2 linked regions of the Nothobranchius furzeri genome follow. The protein of the gene in region 1 binds, or shares a complex with, the protein of each later gene. Links are inferred from orthologs where the notes say so. Each region holds a gene or a part of one and is shown on either strand. Other genes may lie near its edges.

Region 1 (10,488 bases):
TCCAGCCCAGACACAAACACAACGCTTGTAACTTTGTTTAAAAAGAGAGAGAGCTCACAGAAGTCAGTCCAGACCAGTTTATTGGTGTTCAGCGCTGTTCTCCTCGAGCCCAGAGTAAAACGTACATTTGTGGGAGGAAACCCGTCCATGGAAACTTTTAAATAACAATAATGAAAGCTGCTAGAGGAATGCCCTACGAACAGAGGAATGTGTCACACGTCTGAACAGCGAGTCGGACAACGCCACCTTAAAAACAGGAAAACACGTCACACTTTAAAAGGTTTCTGAACAGTTTTCCCCTCCTGCTTTCCCAACACAGTTACAGCGCCGTAAAAAAATAAAATGTGGCCTTGTTCCTATGGATCGACACTGCTACTGAGCTTTTTCATGACAACTGATCTGAGCTGCGGGGCCCGTTCCTTCATCTGGCGCCATCTTCAGCCCGAATAAGGAAACTGCAGGAGCACCGCCTGCTCTGGTCCTAATGTGAGCGAGGCCAGGCTCACTAAAGAGTCTTCCTCCAACTCTTTATCAGTGGTCAGTTTCACTTTAGCTACGTCCGGTAGCTTCACTTCATCTGCAGACACAAAATCAGCCGGATTAATAAAAAGAAGATGGCTACAGCAGGTTAGCCAGGTGTTAGCGCAGAGCCGTGACTCACCTGAAGACAGGCTAAGCTTTAGTTCTAAGGGCTGCGTTCCCAAATTAAAGGCTGTGATGTATCTTTCACTCTGGTCCCAGACACGGAGGAACGCGAGGGATGAGGCGGAGGAGGAGAGAGGGTAGTAGTCTCCGTGGAGAAGGGAACGCTCTTTGCCTCGGAGGTCACTGAGGGATTTAAACCACGTCCTTACAGCTATGTGCTCCGTCCGATTGGCCTGTTCACGTGAGGGGAGGAGACTTTAACATGCTGCGGATACCTGAGAGCAGATCAGTGGTCGTCTAATCTAGTCTTACCTCTGCTGCTTCGTCGACGGGAGCTTCTTTGGAGGGTTCTTTATCCAAGTCCCAAATCATTTTAGGACTTTCTGAGCCCTGGAGGACAAATGAAGGTCATATGGTGGACTAGCTGCACGACTGTTAAATGTTCCTGGCTTACATCTCCCGCCTGAAGGCCGATTTCATCTCCGTAGGTGAACACCGGCGTTCCGGGTAACGTGAACAGCAGCAGCTGGTACAGACGGATCAGGCTCGGAGACGTCGCCAGTTTAGACAGACGCTCCAGTTTGCTGGCACCGACGCCCCACGCCACACTTCTCTGCTGGGAGTGAAGAGCGTCCACGTCTCTGATGCGCTGCACATCTGGACGACCGCAGGAAGCGAGTCAGAATTCACGTTCAAGACGAAAAGGGCGTTGACCAACAGAAAACTTACTGTCGCCGGTGCTGGTGAGGAGGTCAGGAAGGATGAGGTCCGCACCAGTGGAGTTGACCAGCTGAGACACCTGTGTGGCTGAAAGACCTTGGACCACACCCATCAGCGCTCTGAGACAAGGAAATGCTCCGTTGGTTATTTACAAAGAGAGAGAGAAACTTTTAAACGCTTCTCCACTAGGTGTCGCAGCACCCTGACGGTGGAAAACCATGACTGGCCTGTTGTTTTTTCTGGCTGACCAACCGTTTAACCTCAGCCAGTGGAATGCCTTTGATCCCGGTCAGCTGTTATTCCAGCGATTCTCAGACCGAGCTGCCTAAAAACGAGCCAACCCAAACTTCCAACAGCGTGCTGGCCTCAGCCTCCAAACATTCTTCTAAACGACACAAACCGGATTTTCTGCACCGACTGCTCACGCGGCTAAGAGGAGGAAGAGGCGCTCACCTTTTCTTCGTGTCCTCGGTGCGGTTCCCTTGGACGGCGGCCTGCAGTTTGGGCCAGTCGGTGAAGTTTGAGGCGAGAGAGAAACCTGACACCTTGATGCCATCGACGCCCAAATTCATCCAGTACTCCGCTGCAGCCTGAAGAGGATACGAGCATTTCAGCCACAGCAGCTCCACTAGGTTATACCAGTTATCCATCACACCTAGGGATGGGTACCTTTGACATTTGATTCGATCCGGTACTAATTCCCGGTACCTAGGAATCGATACCGGTACTTAACGGTACCAATTTTAGATACTTTTGATTGTTTAATATTTTAATTCTCTTTTATAATTATATTTTTCTCAATATATAACCATATTTGATAAATATCACGATAAATAACATACAAGTTTGTATTTTAACATCGTCCTTGTAGTTTTATAAGCTGATAATTAAACTGAAGCAAACATCTTTACTGTGAACTAAATTTACTGTGTATCTTCATTCCTTTTGCCGTCCTTTTTCATTTGATTTTTCCTACTGGGAAGTTAGAATTTCCGAGGAGAAAGCGAACGCACCATTAGCTGATAACAATGGTGGCAATGGAAGCTAACATATCAAGCTAACGTTATCTTAAACTGTTTATTTAGCTGCTGGAGCAGATTAAAACGATGATGCCTCACACTTAGATCGTTGTCGCTGGTTTCATCTTCACCCAATCACCCGTCGCATTTAGTAAAGTGAAGCCAAACTTTAGAGCGCGTTCATGTTCTTCTAGTCGGAAATTCGGAGTTCCGAGGAGAAAGCGAACGCACCATTAGCGGAACGGAAGCTAACATATCAAGCTAACGTTATCTTAAACATTTTATTTACCTACCGGAGCAGATTAACATGAGGATGTCTCACTTAGATCGTTGTCGCTGGTTTCATCATCACCCAGTTACCCATCACATTTAGTGAAGTGGACCCAAGCGTTAGCGTGTGTTCTTTCTACCATGCTGCTCTGTTTACAACTGGCTCGCAGCGACCGACGACATAACGCTCTTGCGCATGCGCAGCTGTCTAGGCAAGTTCTCGTTATGAAGGACGTGTACCGAAACGAGGCACCGTTTCAAATGACGTGAATCGGTGCTCAGTCGGTACTGTGGAATTCGGTCGATACCTTAAAAAGTAACGAATTCGGTACCCATCGCTACTCACAACGGTGTCTCACCTTGACTTTGTCCACGATATCGTTGTTATTGTCGGTGAACCAGGGGGCGGATCCCCGGTAGTTGGGCGTCAGGTCAAGCACCACAGAAATACCTTTAACAGAATAAACCAACAGTAAACGTCTGGGGGGGGGGGGGGTAGAATTTCACCAAAGCTGGGCCTTTAAAGGAAAACAACCCACCCTTCTTGTGGGCCTTGGCCAGCACAGACACCAAGGCTTTCTCCGTCCCCTGGGTGGGGTTGATCTGTGTCAGCTCCAGCGTGTTGGGCTCATCAGCCTGGACGGTGTGGAACGGACCCAGAACCAGCCCTTTAACCTTCATCTGGGTCAGGTGGTCCAACTTAGCTTCCAGGCCTAATGCAGGACAAATCAAATAACACGTCGATGGATGTTCCACGCCAGTAAGAATTTCACATCGGGCAAAACAACAAACAAACAAACAACAATGAGACCTAGAGCTGACGTGTGAGAAGCAGCAGGGTCTAAAAGGCTACGAGTGGACATTAGGGGTGAACGGAGCAGCTTTCTTTGTTTTAGAGACCAGTATTGACTTAGAGCAGGAGTGTGTGATGTGAACGAGCATCCACACCCTCTGCTGGCCACTGGAGCACAAGGAGGTCCTTTTTATGCCGGAACAATCAGGTCACGTGTGGGTTTTGGAGTCCTTCCCAAAGCCTGCTGGGAACAAGCGTTCCCCCTTAATTCACTCCGAGCTCAGAACATTCCGTCCTTCCTACCGTCCCCTCATTAAAGATAATACACCTGTATTATAAAGTAATAAGGTGTTAAGGAAGCACGCGTACTAAAGTACAAGGTTGCTCAACTTCAACTCGGATCTGATTAGGAGGTCTAAAGAGACGACTCGCTCTTCTTTCGTGTCCCTTTGGCCGTTAAGTCATTCAGTGCCAGCCAAGTCAGCAGTTTAGTATCAAGCTGGCTGATACAGGCGATACTGAGCGGAGGCAACTCCACACACAGTCACAAGACTCCCCTCGAATGAATCAGCCCACACTTCCTCTGAATCCTGACACAAAAACAGAAGACTGGGTCGTTTACTCTAAAACCAAACGCACTTTACCTTCCATTCCTTCAGAAAAGGCATCAAGGTCAGGGATCTGATACAGAGGTCCTTCGTTCCACCAGTTCATCTCCGGGATGGGTTTGCAGCGAGGGGCCTGCACAATGATTACAATCGCTCCAGCCAGCATGCCGACCCAGCCCAACCAGAACAGGACCAGCAGCACCCAGCGGGTTCGCACCCACCTGCACCAACAACGGGAAGTGTTTAGATGGGCACACACACACACACAAACACACTTTGGTTGTGTGATGGTTGTGAGCGGTTACCCTGGAGTGCCCGCGACCTTCATCAGCTCATCCTTGGATAGGCCGGTGAATGTGACCTCATCCTCAGGGACCTTCAGCTTCACGCTGCCGTTCTTCTCACTCACCGGTGGACCGTCTCCGGTCATGGGCTGCTTCTCAGGGTCCACCTCATTGAGCTTCACCTCCTCCATGTCGATCTCTGTGTCCTTACTCATGATTTAATCTGATCTGGGGGACAAAGGAGGGACACTGAGAATATGGTTTTGTTACTGGGTGAGAACATACCTGGCAGAAAGGTGGATTAAAAAGCTACAGGTGTCTACATAATTTTCATCCGGATTATCTGGTGGTTTGATCCTAGAACAGAGGCTAGACAGGCGTTGCTGCAAGCAACAGACCGTATTTGACCTCGTTAACGACTGATGAGCTAAATTGTGAAATAAAACACATAACTGCCGTTTACACGTTATTGTTAGAGTTTATACGGAGCTGGTTAAAGCTGAGACAGCATGGAAAGCGATAATCAGTCCACAAGGTGTTCCCGTTGAGCGGGTTTAGCAGATGATGAAACGTCTCTACCGGCTTACACAGCCGGCGGAAACGCCGCAAGACCTTCACAATAACAGTTCGAATATTTTAAAAACCATTAACACAGTTTTAAATTTAAGATATTTTGTTAATAATTTCATTCAATATTAATATGAAACAGAATCTGTATTTAAACTAAAGAAAATTCGCACTGAAATTTGTAAAAAGAAAGTTAGGTTGTTTTAATTTGTCATACCGGAAGTGAGCCGGCGTTTTGACACGCTCGTTAATCATCGTGTAAATGAGGAAATAATTATTAGAAAACGACTGTTCTTGTTATACATCACAGTTAAAGACAAGAAAATATCGTGTGCTAAACAAGTGACACCAGTCTGCCAGTGTTTTGTTAAAACCGGCAGCAGTAACTGCGTAAGGCGCAAGCGCACGTGCCAAATGACACTCCGTTTTCCCCATTCAACCCATTTACCTAAGCTACTAGCTAATAATACGATCGTAATAATGTATACATTACCTGTAGAAGTCCGTGTAGGATCCGTCTGTGTTTTACTGTACGTGTTTGAATCGTTTTGGCTCTGGGTGTGTACCGTGATAGAGGAGAGCAGTGTATTTGTAGCTACGCATAAACCCCACCCACAACAGGAACTGGCCAATCAGATGCGTCCTTTTTGATATCTTCCTAGAAAAATAAAAGAACAAACATGAAGAATTGTTCTAATTTAAATCTCAAACCCTCCTTTTTGGTGGATTCATGTACTCGAGTTGCTAAAACCTACGGAATTTTATTTTTTTATCCTGACGCCGTTTTCAGTTTGGAAGTGTTTAGGTCGAGTACAAAATGTACAATTCTCTGATTCACCATTGCAGCATAGCAAAACAACACAGTATGCTTGTCTACCAGGACGATGTTTAACTAAACGTGAAACCGCTTTGATTAGACGTGTTTTGACTGGAATACAAACAGCTAATGTGCTTAGTGATTGTTCTAGAACACAAAAGACCTTTAAACCTTTGAACTGTAGAGATTTTCACTCTTTCTTTCATTGATTTAATTTATTTGTGATCACATTATATCTCTCTCAATTTACTTTCTCTGTATTTGCATAACAGATAATAACCTTTCGTAGAATAATGTGATGCTCACAAACTCATGAGAACATGTATTTTTTCCTGTTCTGACCTTATTTTTGATTTCCATCCATCCATCCATTGTCTGAACCCGCTGTGTCCACGCAGGGTCGCGGGGGGGCTGGTGCCTATCTCCAGCGGTCAATGGGCATTCAGGCGGGGTACACCCTGGACAGAGAGCCAGTCCATTGCAGTTATTTTTGATTTCCAGAAAATAAAAAAGAAACAGTGCGTTCTTCTATGTAAGGCATTAAAGAGCATGTTGTTCTTAAATACTTTGTCTGAAGTTGACTTTTTGCAGGCAACAGAAAGAGTGCTAAATTCCTGGGAATAGCTGTGATTTGAGCTAAAAACAACGCCTTCCTGGTGCTGCCTGTGCTTTGAAGAAATTCCCAGCTGTTGTTGACCTTCACTGAGTTACAGTAAAAACAGACTTTTCACAAAAAGCAGCAACTTTGCTTGGATCCTCTACAGAACCAGGGTTGCATGGACCTAATAGTAACTTTTTTTGCATTAATAATTTTCCTGTGAAGTCATATTTTTAATCTAAAGTTTTAACATTTGGGAAAATAACCGACTTGCAAGTTTTGTAAGTTGCAGTAAGCTGCAAACTCCCCTCCATACAGGACCTGTACACCTCTAGGACACTGAGGCGTGCAGGTCGGATAATAGCTGACTCGTGTCACCCTGGACAGTCTCTTCGACTCGCTCCCATCTGGCAGAAGGCTCAGATCCATTCGGACCAGAACCTCTCGCCACAAAAACTGTTTCTTCCCCTCTGCAGTTGGACTTTTGAATGAAAATCCTAGGGCAGCCCACTCAAGTCGATTGGTCCCAGTCACGTGACCCGATGCTGTGCTTGAAACATTCAGCAAACACTCGGATAAGTACCTACACGGGGTAGATAGCTGCTTCTCTAATTCTTGCCACTTTTTACATGAATAATTTTATCATGAGTGTTTTATTAGTTCTTATATTTGCTTATCTCTCAATTAATTTTTTTCTATCTTACCTTCTGCACCAAAATACTGCAGCAATTTCCTAATGTTGTGACTTGGCACACCTATGGCAACAAAACCTTCTGATTCTGATTCTGAAACAGACCGACGGGATTGCGGGTTGTTGTCTAATGAGTTAAATGGAAGTATTTTAGATGATGAAACTACCTCTGACTCGTAAACATCTTTACTGTTTTTATTATTTATCCAGCTCATTTAATGTGTCGCCTCTGGATCTTTTTACTCCCTAAAGAGGTAAACATCCTTCCTGCTGCTGCGGATGATTGCAGGAACAAGCTCCACCGCTCTGCTTCACGTGCCTGGATCTCTGCATGTGGGCGCCTGTTCTGTTTCTTCAAATCAACTTAACAATCAAATGATCTTTTGCTGGGATTAGTAGGGTCACGAGACTGTTGTTATCACATACATGTCACTTTTATACACGGATGTTGTTCTTAGTGGAGTTCAAAATGGCCTCCATGGGAGAGTTCCAAGGTCAAAACCTCTGAGGACCAAAAGCAACAACAAAGACGATTCGGACTCTTGCTAAGCAGCAGCTTTTGGGAAAGTGTTTTTGTGTTCTGATGCAACAAACGTGGAACCATTTGGAAGGTGTGTGTCCCATTCCATCTGCAGTAAAGCTAACACTAAAGCATCATAGCTACGCTCAGACATGGTGGTGGTAGTGTGATGGTCTGGGGCTTCTTTAGGACCACTCGCTGAATTATCACTATTTTGTAAAGAAAACCGGGAGATAATTCATTACCGCTTTAATAAGCACACATATCTTCTGGGAGTTACAACCGGTTCTTAAAGAGCAAGTTCACTGAGACACATTTTTTTATTTTATATTTTTCACTATTTTACAAATAAAATCATCACTCTGAGTTTGAGTTTGAGCTAAACATGAAAATAGTGTATTTCCTGCATTAGCCGTTGATAAAAATAGACGAGGAAACGCTTGGATTAAAAAAACCGAACAGATTTATGTCACACTCATGGATGTAGTTGGGGGGGGGGGGGGGAAGTCAACTTTTTTCCAGGTAAATTTACGTCCTCTGCACTTTTTACCAGCCAAAAACAACATTATGCTTAATTAAATACACTGGTTGAGCACTATGACTAAGTGGAAAACAACCACTTGTGTTAAAGCCTGTTTCCCATTAGAACTGTCCATAAGCTCATCTATTGGCTCTGCTGATACTTGCTAACGTGTCATTGGACGTTCCTGCCACCTGTGTACTTGACAGTTCTGCATACCTGACGTTGCATAAAAGAGCCTGTAGTTTTACACATATTTGCTGTATACTTACTGTAAAGACCCCCCTGGTCCTGCCGGTCGCGTCCCCCCACTTCTAAAGTCAAAACTACGTCCATGGTCACACTGAAAATTAGCTTTCATGGACTCGGCCATCTTGGTTCCTGACAGGAAGGGAATTGTTGATTAAGCCCTATTAAGCCTCCAAGAAAGAGCAGAGCACATTTTGGCTAGTAGAAGCTAACCGTTAGCATCAGCAACATGGCAGAACTCTTTCAGGCTTGTGTTATTAGTGGATATAAAACATTGGAGGCTGTGGAAGAGTTACGTTGTCATTAGCCAATCATTAGCATATCAGGAAATAAAAGCAAGAAGCACTCTAAGTCCTACTTTTTTATGCTCCCATCTAATCAGACTAAGAGCGCCAGAGCTTGTTTTCCCACGGAGGCCCACTGGCAAGGCATTAATTTATACCAGAGACCACTGCAAATGCATTAAAATAACAAGTGAACTTTGTATTTGGGTTTCGGGGCGATTACTTGTACACCAGGTTGGCTGGAACAGCTCCTGTTTCTATAAAAATGAAGTATTTCTAAACAACATTTTGTATTTGCTCGGGTTATCTTTGTCTGATTTTGAAATGTGCTCGCTGATCCGAAACATTTGGCTGCCAAAAATAGCAAAGCAGAAGAAATCTATGAGGAGACGACTAGTTTTTCCACAACAAGGCATAAATAAGTCTTGCTACACAGCAACCTTTAGCAACCCTGGAGGGCGAGCGAACTCTGGCTGAGCGTCAGAAACGTTTGGACTTGAAGCTGAGCACGTGCCCTCTAATGAAAACCGTTTGCTTCCAGGAATAAAAGGTGTGGTTTAGTATTTAGCAGCTGTTTGTCTTTATTTAGACATGGTTCCATAAATCTGATCTGTAGATTCTAGTCCCACCGTCTGGTCCTCTCTCTCTCTCTGTGTGTGTGTGTGTTGATCACGTGCAGGCAGAGTTCGGCTGAGCTGCTCACTGATGTGAACACAGTGTGCTGGTGATCTGCAGGGAGTGAACGGTGGTGAAACGGTGTAAAGGAGACCGTGTTTTTCCTCAGCTGACCTTCACGTTACTCCGTTTCCAGGCATCAGTGTTGAGCTCCAGGATGTTTGGTTGAACATGGGAAGAATGAAAAGAAGATTGTCTGTGTCGACTAAAATTTAGGTGATGGGAGGAGCCGGAGAAATGAGGGGAAAGGGCATGGGGTGAGTGAGGACGGAGAGGGGATGGGTAAACTTGTTTATGAGCTGAGGGTGAAGCAGAAATAATACTGAAATGGACTCCAGGGATGGTGTCTCAGTTACAGCCGGTTTTCACGTAGAATAAACGTACAAGGAAAACATCCAGGAAGCTTTTAAAACCTGCAAATGTTTTGGGTTTTAGGCATTGGTAACAGAGAAAAGTAAATATGTTTATTGACATATCTGATGTTTTTCAGATTTTAGGAGAAGAGATCCAGGATGCTAGCTTGTAGCTCACAGGAGGAGCGGAGGGCCACACTGCCGCTGACCAGACCTTCCTGTTTTCTGTGAGGCAGGAGGGGGTTAAGCTGCAGCTCTACGCTCCAGGGTCAAAAAAAAAAAACCACAAAAAAGTGCTCCGTAAGAGGAAAAACATCCACGTCAACATGTTCGAAATGAGGAAGCAAGAAGTTTAAATGTTCTTTATTCCTGCAAGTGCACACAGCCAGAAAACGTCCTCTAGAGCCCAGGTCTGAGCCGCTGAGAGGGTTCGTTTAGTCAGACACGTGCTCGGTGAAAAAAACCAGACCGGTTTGGACCGGTCTGTGTGAGGATTCATGTGTTTCAGGATAGCTGCAACCCACACACACACACACACGCACACGCACACGCACACACACACACACACGTGTTTCAGAGACGATGTCGGTCGATTCAGAGGAACAAGACAAAATGTTGTTTGTTGGTGTTTGTTTATTGATTTGTTCACGCTGTTCCCATCAGGTTTCAGCTTTGAGACTCGGCCAGCGTCGGACTGCTACATGTACACACGTGACTCGGTGCGACTGCAGTCGTTTGAGAATCATTTACAGAGAGAAATCAGAGGCGAGCCTTCTTATAAGCTCATAAACCACTCAGGAGTTTAATCAGATCGGGCGGACTTCGAGTCATGTTGTGCAGCTGTGGGTGTTCCCTGCTTCTAATCCCGTCACTGC
Region 2 (10,801 bases), on another chromosome or scaffold:
CTCATCTTGCCAGGCTGGCAAAAAAGCTTTTGTGTATCCCAGCAACTAGTGTTCCATCAGAGAGAATATTCAGTGCCAGCGGGCACATTCTTTCCTCTCTTAGATCACATCTTAAACCAGAAAAGGTTAATATGTTGACATTTTTGCATTTCAACCTGAAGTAAATGGTCATGCATGCAGTCATGATGCTGGTTGCTGGATGAAGCATCTTACTTGTTGATGAAGGAAATATACCATTAGTTCCTTGTCATTGATTTGTTTACTTTTTCAATGCCATTTATATTTGAACATTTGGATTTGATTACATAGTGTAGTAGTTATTTTAGTAATTTGTTTAAAGTGGCTATTTATTTTAAATACATATTTTTTTAAGGTTGACTTGTACAGTGCTCAAGTCAAGTGTGGACTGGAGTTTTAGATTTTCATTTTGATAATGAAGAAAACAAGTGGTGTTTCTTTGATTTGTTTACATATTGTTTATGTTTTGAATGTTTGGATTTGTATAATTTAAACCTGCACTACTGTAACATGTTCCAGAAAAAGAAGCTATTTGTTCCTTGTGAAAAGTTGCACTTTGTTAAGGCTTTGTGTTATTTTAGGTTTAATAAACACTGTTAAACCTTTTCAAAACTATTTCAGTTTGTGTAGAACAGGACTATCAATGCTTTCTGAACATATGCAACATCGTTTAAAAAAATACCGCGATAATACCGAAAACCGTGATAATTTTGGTCACAATAACCGTGAGGTTAAATTTTCATACCTTGACAACCCTACTCGATACATCAGGATTACTCACCCAACTCCATAGGACTCCGGACCATCTCGCTCTGCAACATTCATCATCCATCCGCCCTGACCGACCCACTCTCTCTCGACCCCCACGCTCCCTCTCCAGCTTTGCACACCTGGATCTACCCTGGCTCACTACCTCCCCTCACTCCCCAATCCTGTCAACCCCAGTAAGTCTTCACTCTGCACTATTCAGTTTAGACTTACTCCCCAGGACTCACCTGCCTCTGTTCTCCCCTCCAGACGCTGCATTCCCGTTTCCAGTCCACTGAACTTCCCAGTGTGCCTTTAGTAATTGTTCTTCCAAAATCAATTATTTTTTTCCATCCATCTGTGTTCGGGTTTGATTCTGCATGTCTTGGGTTAGACACCTCCCCCAGAACATGACAAGCGTTGCCTTACAAAGATCTGTCCTGATTAAAAATAACTTTATTTAACAGCGGGCATTTAACGGTAGCCCTAACCCAAACCCAATTTTTAAGAAAAATTTATAAAAGAAAAAACATCACATTAAAAAGTAGACAACCCATAGCATAAAGCAGCGCTCGTTGCCATGACGTAACGGAGTACGGTTCTGTTCCAAAGGCCGTCCTTGTTCCCCTGCATTCACCAGAACGGACTTTCTGGCGTACTTGCCAAGAACTACTTGTCAAGTATGCAAGAAAGTACTAGCCTACATTGGTATTGAAAAACAGCCCATGTAAAAAAAAAAAACAAGAAATTGAAGTGAAAGTTGAACTCTAAACACAAGAGAGCCCCCTAGTGGCTGGATGCTGTTCATCATTTATCTTAAGTCCCACCTCATTTTTGTAAATAAAACAGATTCCTGACACAGAGAATGATGAGCTGAAAGTCATTTCATTTGATTCAGAAAGATCTTACCGTGCTGCAGCATGTTCTAATATTAAAGGATACTATGCACATTTTTCATATTTTTAAAGAATTTACTTGATCTTGTAAGTGCTAAACATCGACATATATATATATATATATATATATATATATATATATATATATATATATATATATATATATATATATATATATATAAATATATATATATATATATATATGATCCTTTACAGGGTTAATGAAATGTCACTAAGACACTGATCGCCCTCTGTGGCCAGAATACCACACTTGCAACTTCAGAGTGCCGGTCCAGTCCCTGTCGGACTTGAGAAAAAATGAAGCTGACATACCTGGTGCTGCAGTCTGCTTCCTGCGTGTTTTAGATCATGAACACAGCTAATTTGTTTGATTTAACAATGAATCACTCCTCTAGAGACTAATGAAGGCTGGGGAGACATTTACGCAGTTAGAGTAAGGTGTTAAAAAGACAAACTCACAGCAAAGAGAACATTTTTGCTTTTGGTTCTACTAAAGGGACACTAGGGGGTGCTAAAAGCAAGCCAAAACTGCCATGTCTCCTTTTAATTGTTCTTTGATGTTTATCTGCAGGTAACACGCCATGGTGGGACGCTCAGTCCAACATCCAGAGTACACAGACGTCTAGATCCATAAATGCAGCACAGTGTAGGTGAATACATCTTGTCCGTTTGTATGTACCCCAGTATCGTAGTTATTGAAAATATTTTAAATAACAAATCTGAAATAACAAATGAATTCCCTGCAAACTACATGTACCTCTAGCTGTAGGTGAAAGGTGTGAAAGTAAAGAAAAAAAATCTCCCCTCCCTTGATTCCTGACATCTTTATAGCAGTAAGGGGCTACAGTGCATGACCTTTGACCTTTGTAGAAAAAATAGCACCAACATGTTAAATGAGGTTTTTGTTTTTCCTGATGTGATTCTGCAACACAAACTTTGGCAAAGTTTACTAATGTTAAAAAGCAACAGATTTTTTTTTAAATTCGAGTGCCAACTGAGATTTTATTTAGAGGTAATGAAACGTGCACATTGTGCATTCATGCTATGAGAAGACTGCTGACTATTAGGGAATTTTTCACGTTTCCTGTTCTTTCCACTTGTCTCTGGGATGCTTTTTTAAAAATCTCTTTCGCTGAAAATGTTGCCAAACTGCAGCTTGTTTCTGGATCACAGCGAAAGATCACCAGCAAGCTGCATCAGGTTTTAGAAACAGTGGATTTAAAAAAAAAGAGACAGAAACACAAGTCACAAAAGTTGGATTTATGAACAATCAGAGTCTTTTAAATTTTCCTCTTCGTTCAAATCTCAGAAGGTTTGTTTTTGCTCAGCATTTTTTAATATCCTCTTTTTATCACTGAAGTGAATTTCATAAGAGAGAACGTTTCTGTTCCTCTTAAACTTCATCAACAGGCCTACAGTTTCTGAATCTGAATTTTTTGTGCAAATGTTTGTGCACGACTGATAAAATGATCAAGATTAGAGTTTTTCAATTAATAATTCATGCCACTTTATCAGATTAGAACACATGAAGACAAGAACAAACCAACTGACTGATGTGAATTTATTATGAGATTGTATTCAGGAGCATCCTTCCTGACATTTGTTGCTGGTTTGCATGTTAAAATTTTATATATAAGCACAAAAGTAGACATCTATATACAGATACAACTTGTTAAGCTAAAAAACTCATAAATTTTTATTACAAGTTGAGTTTATGCACCGAGGCTGTAAATCTAAACAATCATAAAGGATTAGCATAAAAAAACTGTCTAAAAAACAGCTTTTTGTTTAATGAAATTCTATTTTTAACTTAGATTTTGTTTAAAAAGTAGCTCCATTCCCAAACAAGAATTAATCTCAGCTCAAACTAAGTACGGCAAGCTAATAAAACAGCATTATCAGGGCGGAGACCTGCTTATGGTAGCCAAAAGTTTACTTCTAATCCAAAATCACAGCTCTCCGCGTTCCTGGAGTTATGTGTGGGTGACGAAATTGTGCACTGTACAACAGGCCATAAAAGCCTTTGAAGTCATCGTGTTCTTGACTGTTTTCATGGAAACGTAGTGGGGGCATGTTCACAGCCAAAAGGATCAGCCGGGTCACCTGAGCTCACTGTCTCACACGTGACAGTGTGATCGGAACAAGCATGAATGAGTTACCTGATCAAGGACGAGACAAGAGCTCCGCCGAGGAGGCGCTGATGAGGACTCTGGTCGACTGTAAAAGTCTTTGTTTCTTATTAACTATGAAGGGAGAGTGAAATGATCTGATTATCTAAATAGCTGATAAGACAGAGAGGGTGGAGCTATAGTGAAAACCGTTTTAAGTGGGCTTTGGCAAAGACCTCAGATGAAATGCAGAACATTGTCAGTAAACTTACTTTAACTCACAATAAGTAGAGCTTCTTTTATCTTTTATGGTCTTTAATCTTTTGATGTGGAAATGTGATGAACAATCAATATTTTACCTGTCATAAGTATCTCTTTAAACAGCCTTCGTTTGGTGAAATAAAGAATGATTCTGAATGAGCTAACAGCTAGCTAGCCGGGGCGGGGCCAAAACAAAACAAGTGGGCTGGTGTCATCTTAACTCCAATCTGAAAAACTTTACTGTAAAAAACATTTACATCACCTACATCTGAAATTTATTAGCTTTTAAAATAGAACTATAGAGTTATTTGAAACTAGAAATAGCATCAGTGAGCTAGCAATAACAACTTTGTCATATTATCAGTGTTGCCAACTGTTTTTGATGAATTAATATAACTTTATGCTTTAAGTCATACAATGAAAAATAATTCAACTCTTTGTATTCCGCTTTTTTTCGGACTCCACAACGTGCTCGCAAATCAACAAGATATTAAATCCGATGCCTAAATTATAAATCCATATTTCTGTAGAACTCAATTATCGTTCATTAAAGTAAAAAGAAAAGTGGCAAGTCTAACATGACTGTTGTGGAGCTCCAGCTGCACAAAAATGACCTTCATGCCAAAGTCGCCAGAAGAAGACCTGTCCTGTTTTCACCGCGCACAAGTTCATCATAAATTTGTCAAAGATAATCTGAAAAACTCTGACATATTTTACCAAAACAGCTTCTAAAAAGCATTTAATCATAATAATGAACGTGCTTAGAAGGAGCACAACGTCCTGAAAGCGACATGCCACCAACTGAAATTCACATTATCCCAGTGCTGCAGGCCGTGGCACGTGGGAACGATCCACTTGTGAGACAAACAACCAGGAACCGGCTTCACACATCATCTCACTCTGCCTCTCTCCTTTTCACCTTTTCTCACCGCTGTTCTCCCCGTTGCCTTGGAAACACATGAATGAGTCACCTCATCTCTGTTCATCAGAGGTCAACCAGAGGACCGAATCCCTCTCCATCTGGACAACACGCAGCATGCTTCACCTCTGAGTTTCTATTGATCAGTCTGATTAAGTCATCTTTATTTGTTTGTAATCTAGTTTTTGTTCCACCAAGCGGCTCAATCTGAGTGTCTTCACCTTTAAACATCGACCGTGAGGTTGATTGATCATGAATAAGTGTTGAAATGGTAAGGGTATCACATTTAAACAATGCCAATCAATCTAACGCTGAGACACGACTAGATCTAACTTTTGTTTATGATAGCTTCTGAGTGGCACGATGTGAGCTCACTCCTGATAGATGAACACATTTGAAAGGTGTGCTTTTAATCAAAATCAGCAGCTAAAAGAGAAACCATCACACGTTTTAGAGCAAATCATCCAAAAGTATCAGCGGGTGGGCCGAATTGGTCAACAAGCTGCCTGCTTGGCCTAATATTTGATTGGCCAATCGAACCACCCAAACATCAGATTTTTTTAGGGTTGTGTGAATGCAGCAACTCCAACATTTTGTTTTACTAGCATCAAGTGCATCAGAATTTTAAAAGATTAGTGTTTTTATTTTATTTATTGGAAACATTTCAGAAAATCAGTACCAACAGGTCATCGCTTGTGCAAAAATCGGAAATCGGTATCGGCCCTCTCTGCCATTTATCTCCAGACATGTGAGCCACTTGAGAAGAAAATCCTCTGCGCACAGAGGAGTCAGCTTCTTATTTGGTCATGGTTATGTGCTGATAAGAAGAAAGGTTCGGTTACATCCAGGAAAAGAAGCTCCTGACTTACAGACAAACCATCAACATTTTAGAGCTAACCTCACACAGGTCCAGCTCATTTCTACACACTGCAGTGCCTTGCATTGGACTATTATTTATTTTATGCCTTTTTCGTATTGTTGTATTCATCTTATTTATATATTAGAACCTGCATATAGCTCTTAATTTAGTTACAATAAAACGTTTTAGTTCAAATTCTAACATAAGAGCCCAGCTGCGATTTCAGAATTTCGCTCCAGATAAAATCTGAAGAGCCAAAGAAATAAACAAATAAAACAAACATCATAAAAAGAGAAAGCTTAACTCACCAACTATAATCCCGCACGCGCTCACAAGTCCGATCTCCTTCTTGAGCGCGACTCCTCCAGACTCCTTCTCACCGGCAGCATCCTTGGCAGACCCCGTCGTGCTGCTCCGTTGTCTCGGTCCGTCCGTCATTTTGATGAAACTGTTTAAAAGTTGCGTTTGTTCCTCGCAGCACCCGGTGCTGGCCGTGCGCTCCTCGCAGCTCGTGCGCCAAAAGGTTATGGGCAAAAACAGAAAGGTGCAACAGGGCAATGTCCGCTAAAAAGTGCTTAGCTGATGATTGCTGCTGCAACAACTTCTGAGAACGACTCGTTACTATTTATTATAATAATACGATGAAAACATTAACTGAAAGAGGCGAAACAGCGCTGCAGGATGTGGTTCTTTCTATCTTTGTGTCTGCAGCAGATTGTCTCTTAGAGCAAAAAAGGCGCATATTCCAGTTAAATCCTGGGACAAGAGCTTTTATTTGGGCTTCAGGTGCAACAAGGAAACAAACAAAAAAGAAATAAAAAGCGCTCACAGGTTTCCAGGCATCTCCTTTATCCACAACCAGAAAGCGTGGAGCAGCTGTGGACTACAGAGACATCAAGTCCTCTAATAAGACAACCTATGGCTGGGTACATATACTCTGTCCTTCATGTGATCATAGCACCGCCCCATGTCTGCCTTTGCTTTTCCTCCTTCAGCTGCAGGACCCTCCCTTCTTCTTTAAGTTTCCTCCCATCAAACATCAGCTGTTCCTCCCCTGCACTCAGCCTTCAAACCACAGAAAACACGCTTCTTCCAGCTCCCCGTCTCTATATGTCGTCACAGCATGTGCAGACTTCCATTTATTATTCAAGAGGGAGCAGAAGCCTGAATCTAAATTTAGCTCTTTGCAGACAGACGTCACAACTTTGATTCATGCTGCAGAGCATTGCAGAGGGTGCAGGCTCCTCACAGGGTTCTCTTCAAGTTGTTTTGGTCCAACTTTACCTCGAGGATGGTTTATCATCCACTTATCCTGTAAAAGAATAAAGCTATTTCCTCATTGTGGTCAAATAGTATTTGATTTCAGTGCAGGAAAACACGTTTACGATGCTAACTCTTTAATATATTTATCAGATTTTTTTTCTAATAAAATAGAGACACGGCTATTGTTGGGAGGGATTGGTTGTTTTTGTTCAAGGACACCAGTACAGAGGCTGGGCTCTGGCAAGACTAAGAAACCCTTTTACTCTAATAGCATCTCCTGGGATTTCACAGAAAACGTCACATCCGCCTGAGCGACTGCTCACATATCCTGACTGTACACCAGCTGCTTTTGCCACACAGAATATGGTTCCTGCAGTATTTCCTTTTACATTTAGGGAAAACTCCTGATGCGTTTGGGCGAGTGAGACAGGAAGTGGCACCCTCACTCACTCATGCCGAGTCATCAGGAAACATATCAGTGGTATTTTGCTGACACACAGCACACGCACAGATGCCACTGTCTTTATTGGAGTCTTTAAAAAAGCATCACTGTGTCACCAGCAGTGGTGCTCCTAAGATGTGGCCAGAGGGGGCCATGCCCACCCCAGGTAAAGAGTTAGTGCCCCAATCGTCCCCCAGGGAAACCACCAAAAGCACAAATCCCTGTAGATTTAGTGGATATGTTTATTCTAAAACAATTACATCTGAAACAATAACTGAAATAACGGGCGGCACACTGGTGCAGTGGTAGGAGCTGTTGCCTTGCAGAAAGGAGATTCAAATCCTGGCCTGGGGTCTTTCTGAATGGATTTTGCATGTTCTCCCTGTGGGTTCTATCTGGGTACACCATCTTCCTCCCACAATCCAAAAACATGACTGTCAGGTTGATTGGTTTCTCTAAAATTGTCCTTAGGTGTGTGTGCTTGATTGTTTGTCCTGTGTGTCTCTGTGTCGCCCTGCGATGGACTGGCCTGTCCAGGGTGTACCCCGCCTGCTTTCCAAGAGATTGCTGGAGATAGGCACCAGCCCCTTGCAACCCTGCGTGGATAAGCGGGAAAAGAAAATAGATGGACAATGACTGAAAGTACAATGCACAGCTAGGCTAAACTCAGAGTTACCACTGGCAGTGGCGCAAAAAGTAGGTATGCAGTGCATGTGACACAAAAATATTTGTAGTCTGCATTTCCTGCGTTTAATAACAGCTGCGTTTTTGTCCGTTTTTGCATCTGCACATGACATGACTAATAACAGAGAAGCACGTCAGAGATTAAGTGCCGCTCTGCTTTTATGAACAGAATTTTCTGATTGGCGTAAAGAACACATGATATTATCAATCACAGGTCATGATCTAAAGTGGGTCGGTCCGAGGTTTAAAACTGCCCCGGGCCCAAAGCCCTGCAGATATATTAAGTTTCTATAAATACCAACAACAAATACATAACAGCAGCTGGATTCTGCTTTGTTCCTTAAATTGAGGCACGTGGTTTTGCAGGTTCGCCTATTATGTGTCTGGCCCCCCCTCCAAAAGTAGGTAGTTGTGCCCCTGACCACAGGGGTGCCACCCCAAAATTTCCATTGGCCCCATGAACATTTGTTTTTAGGGCATGACTGGTTACCAGTATCTACATATACAGTTAAAACAACCTAGATCAGTGGTTCCCGTACTTTTCAGACCCACAAAATAGCATTTGTCAAACCATACAACCCCAGACATCTGGGATTTGACAACACAAACATGCAGAAAAACCTAAATGAATTCACCAAACTACTTCAGCTCCTATTCACTTATATCCAGTTATGACAAACTTGATACGCTTTTGTAGCGACTACGCTATAAACACAGAAATTGGTTTTCAGTTTAATTTCGATTTCTAGAAATCATCTCAAGACCCTCTGTGCAGTTCTTGGTGACCCACAGTGGGCTGGTGGCTCAGCTTTGGGAACCACTGACCCAGGAATGGAAATGTAGAAATTAGAACAAGTGTGGTACATTTTCCTACCTGAACGTTAATAATACACACCTCATTTAGCAGGTGTTCACCTCGGGTGATTAAGAGTTCTTACCTTGCTGCTACATGTTCAAAAACAAATGAATCCTCTACACTCTAACAAATGAAATGTTGAATGTCGGCTGGTTCCACTAAACCTACTTTTACTTTCGACGCACCAACAAATACTAATATAAGTATTTATATTTAAGCATCTAGGTGTGGTGGAACCAGCTGACATCACCTGGTAAAAATAATTTCAACATATCATTTTGTACAGTGTGTGTTTAGTTGTAATATGATGCTTACAAACACCATAACTAGAGAACAGGCGAGGTTGAGAGACTAAGTGGGACATTCTGAGTGTGCAGAGGGACAGAGACGTATTGGTATAACTCTTTTGTAATTTAATGTTTAAGTAAGAACATATGTAGTCCAAAATTTAAAAAAAAAACACTCAAATTGAACATGGTTTGATGTTTTGAGAAATGTTGCCCTCCGTGGAAGACATTCAGGACTATTACGTTTAATTAAATTATCCTCATCAGAATTACTGAGAGCTTTTGGAGGAGGATGCTCATGTTGATAAAAGGGTCTCCAACACTCACAAAGTACTTAAAAAGTCACATCAAGTCCCAATCTTGTTCAAAGATTTGATTTTTCTTAGAAAAAAATGCAAAAGCAGTTTTCTTTTGACGTGATCAAACACCACGATGCTCTTTGTTCTCACGGGTGTACTGATGGTTGCAGAATGTGTTCTTGATCATCTTCGCTCACTGATTAAAACCAAACTGCCTCTTTTCTTTTATGATTGCTTGTTTTCTTCTAATTGTATCATCTCAATCAGGTAAAATGTGTTGGTAATGGGTTTAGGAAGTGGCTTTCACCATTTGTGCTGATTAGGTGAAGAAGTGATGCAGTTAGATAAAATGTTTATTATTCCCCACTGATCATCTTAGTAAAATAAAGTCCTTTATTTCCTTCAGTTTGTTAGAATTTCACTAAGCATTAAATATATTTGTAAGAAATGTTTAAGAAATGTTTTTAATCCTTTTAAGCTTTGCTCTCATCAATAAGCAGCTGAAAAGATCCCCGTTTTTACTAATCATGTGTCCTGCGTATGCATTGTGAAGTCAGAAGCCTGTCTGTAGAGTCAAAGGTCCTCCTATCAATGAATTTGTCCTGTTGAGTTGGGTGTGTGTACCTTTGATTAGCTCACTGGAGCATTTGAGCAAAAAGATAATGTGAGGAAACGTGCTAAAGACAGCAGAGGCAAGAGGAGCTGACAGACACTATGGTAGTTTCCCTTATAAAAAGTGAATAAATAGTGTATAGATACCTTATTCGTTAAACTGTTAATACTTTATAAATCATTAAAAAATACCTAAAAGAGACCAGGTTTTTGCCAAATAATGAGCGGGGTCTGTTACCCTATTGGCCTATGTTTCATTTAGAGTTGCTAAAATTAAACCTTTCAGACTACCTTGTAAGAACAATGGCCGCTTGCAACCTGCTCAAACTAGCCGTTAGCCTGTTCATCCAAGGTCATGCGTCGTGCTGAAGAGGAATTCCTCTAAGAAGATGTCAAAAATAAATATATACATACACACTTAACAAAAATATAAACACAACACCTTTGTTTCTGCTCCGATTTTTCATGAGATGGACTTAAAGATCTAAAATTCATTCCAGATACACAATATTACCATTTCTCTCAAACA

The links. The genes of interacting proteins can lie anywhere in the genome.
Region 2: the proteins of slc3a2a (region 1) and slc7a8a are in contact, whole or in part, in a cryo-EM structure (PDB 7CMI), measured with the Homo sapiens proteins. The link is inferred for Nothobranchius furzeri from reciprocal best matches to the Homo sapiens genes SLC3A2 and SLC7A8. Residues at the interface, in NP_002385.3 of Homo sapiens: Thr162, Gly163, Leu164, Ser165, Lys166, Glu167, Leu170, Ala173, Gly174, Trp178, Arg182, Leu185, Phe189, Trp190, Trp193, Met196, Leu197, Gly199, Ala200, Ile203, Ile204, Ala207, Arg209, Cys210, Arg211, Leu213, Lys532, Arg534, Asp558, Gln559; in NP_036376.2 of Homo sapiens: Leu147, Leu150, Phe151, Pro152, Thr153, Cys154, Phe155, Pro157, Ser159, Gly160, Leu163, Leu164, Ala166, Ile167, Leu170, Leu171, Trp174, Gln294, Ser352, Met356, Val359, Glu481, Thr484, Leu485, Gln488, Lys489, Met490, Cys491, Val492, Val493.

The regions. Positions count from the first base shown.
Region 1 is NC_091754.1:59,489,405-59,499,892, reverse strand, and holds slc3a2a (solute carrier family 3 member 2a), read right to left. Parts: upstream 6,186-10,488; 5' UTR 6,066-6,185; intron 5,565-6,065; 5' UTR 5,400-5,564; intron 4,568-5,399; 5' UTR 4,555-4,567; coding exon 4,361-4,554; intron 4,277-4,360; coding exon 4,092-4,276; intron 3,368-4,091; coding exon 3,194-3,367; intron 3,106-3,193; coding exon 3,014-3,105; intron 1,956-3,013; coding exon 1,819-1,955; intron 1,485-1,818; coding exon 1,375-1,484; intron 1,303-1,374; coding exon 1,100-1,302; intron 1,036-1,099; coding exon 958-1,035; intron 879-957; coding exon 662-878; intron 578-661; coding exon 438-577; 3' UTR 64-437; downstream 1-63. UniProt on the Homo sapiens protein: Acts as a chaperone that facilitates biogenesis and trafficking of functional transporters heterodimers to the plasma membrane.
Region 2 is NC_091742.1:59,608,707-59,619,507, forward strand, and holds the start of slc7a8a (solute carrier family 7 member 8a), read right to left. Parts: upstream 6,489-10,801; 5' UTR 6,268-6,488; coding exon 6,138-6,267; intron 1-6,137. UniProt on the Homo sapiens protein: Associates with SLC3A2 to form a functional heterodimeric complex that translocates small and large neutral amino acids with broad specificity and a stoichiometry of 1:1.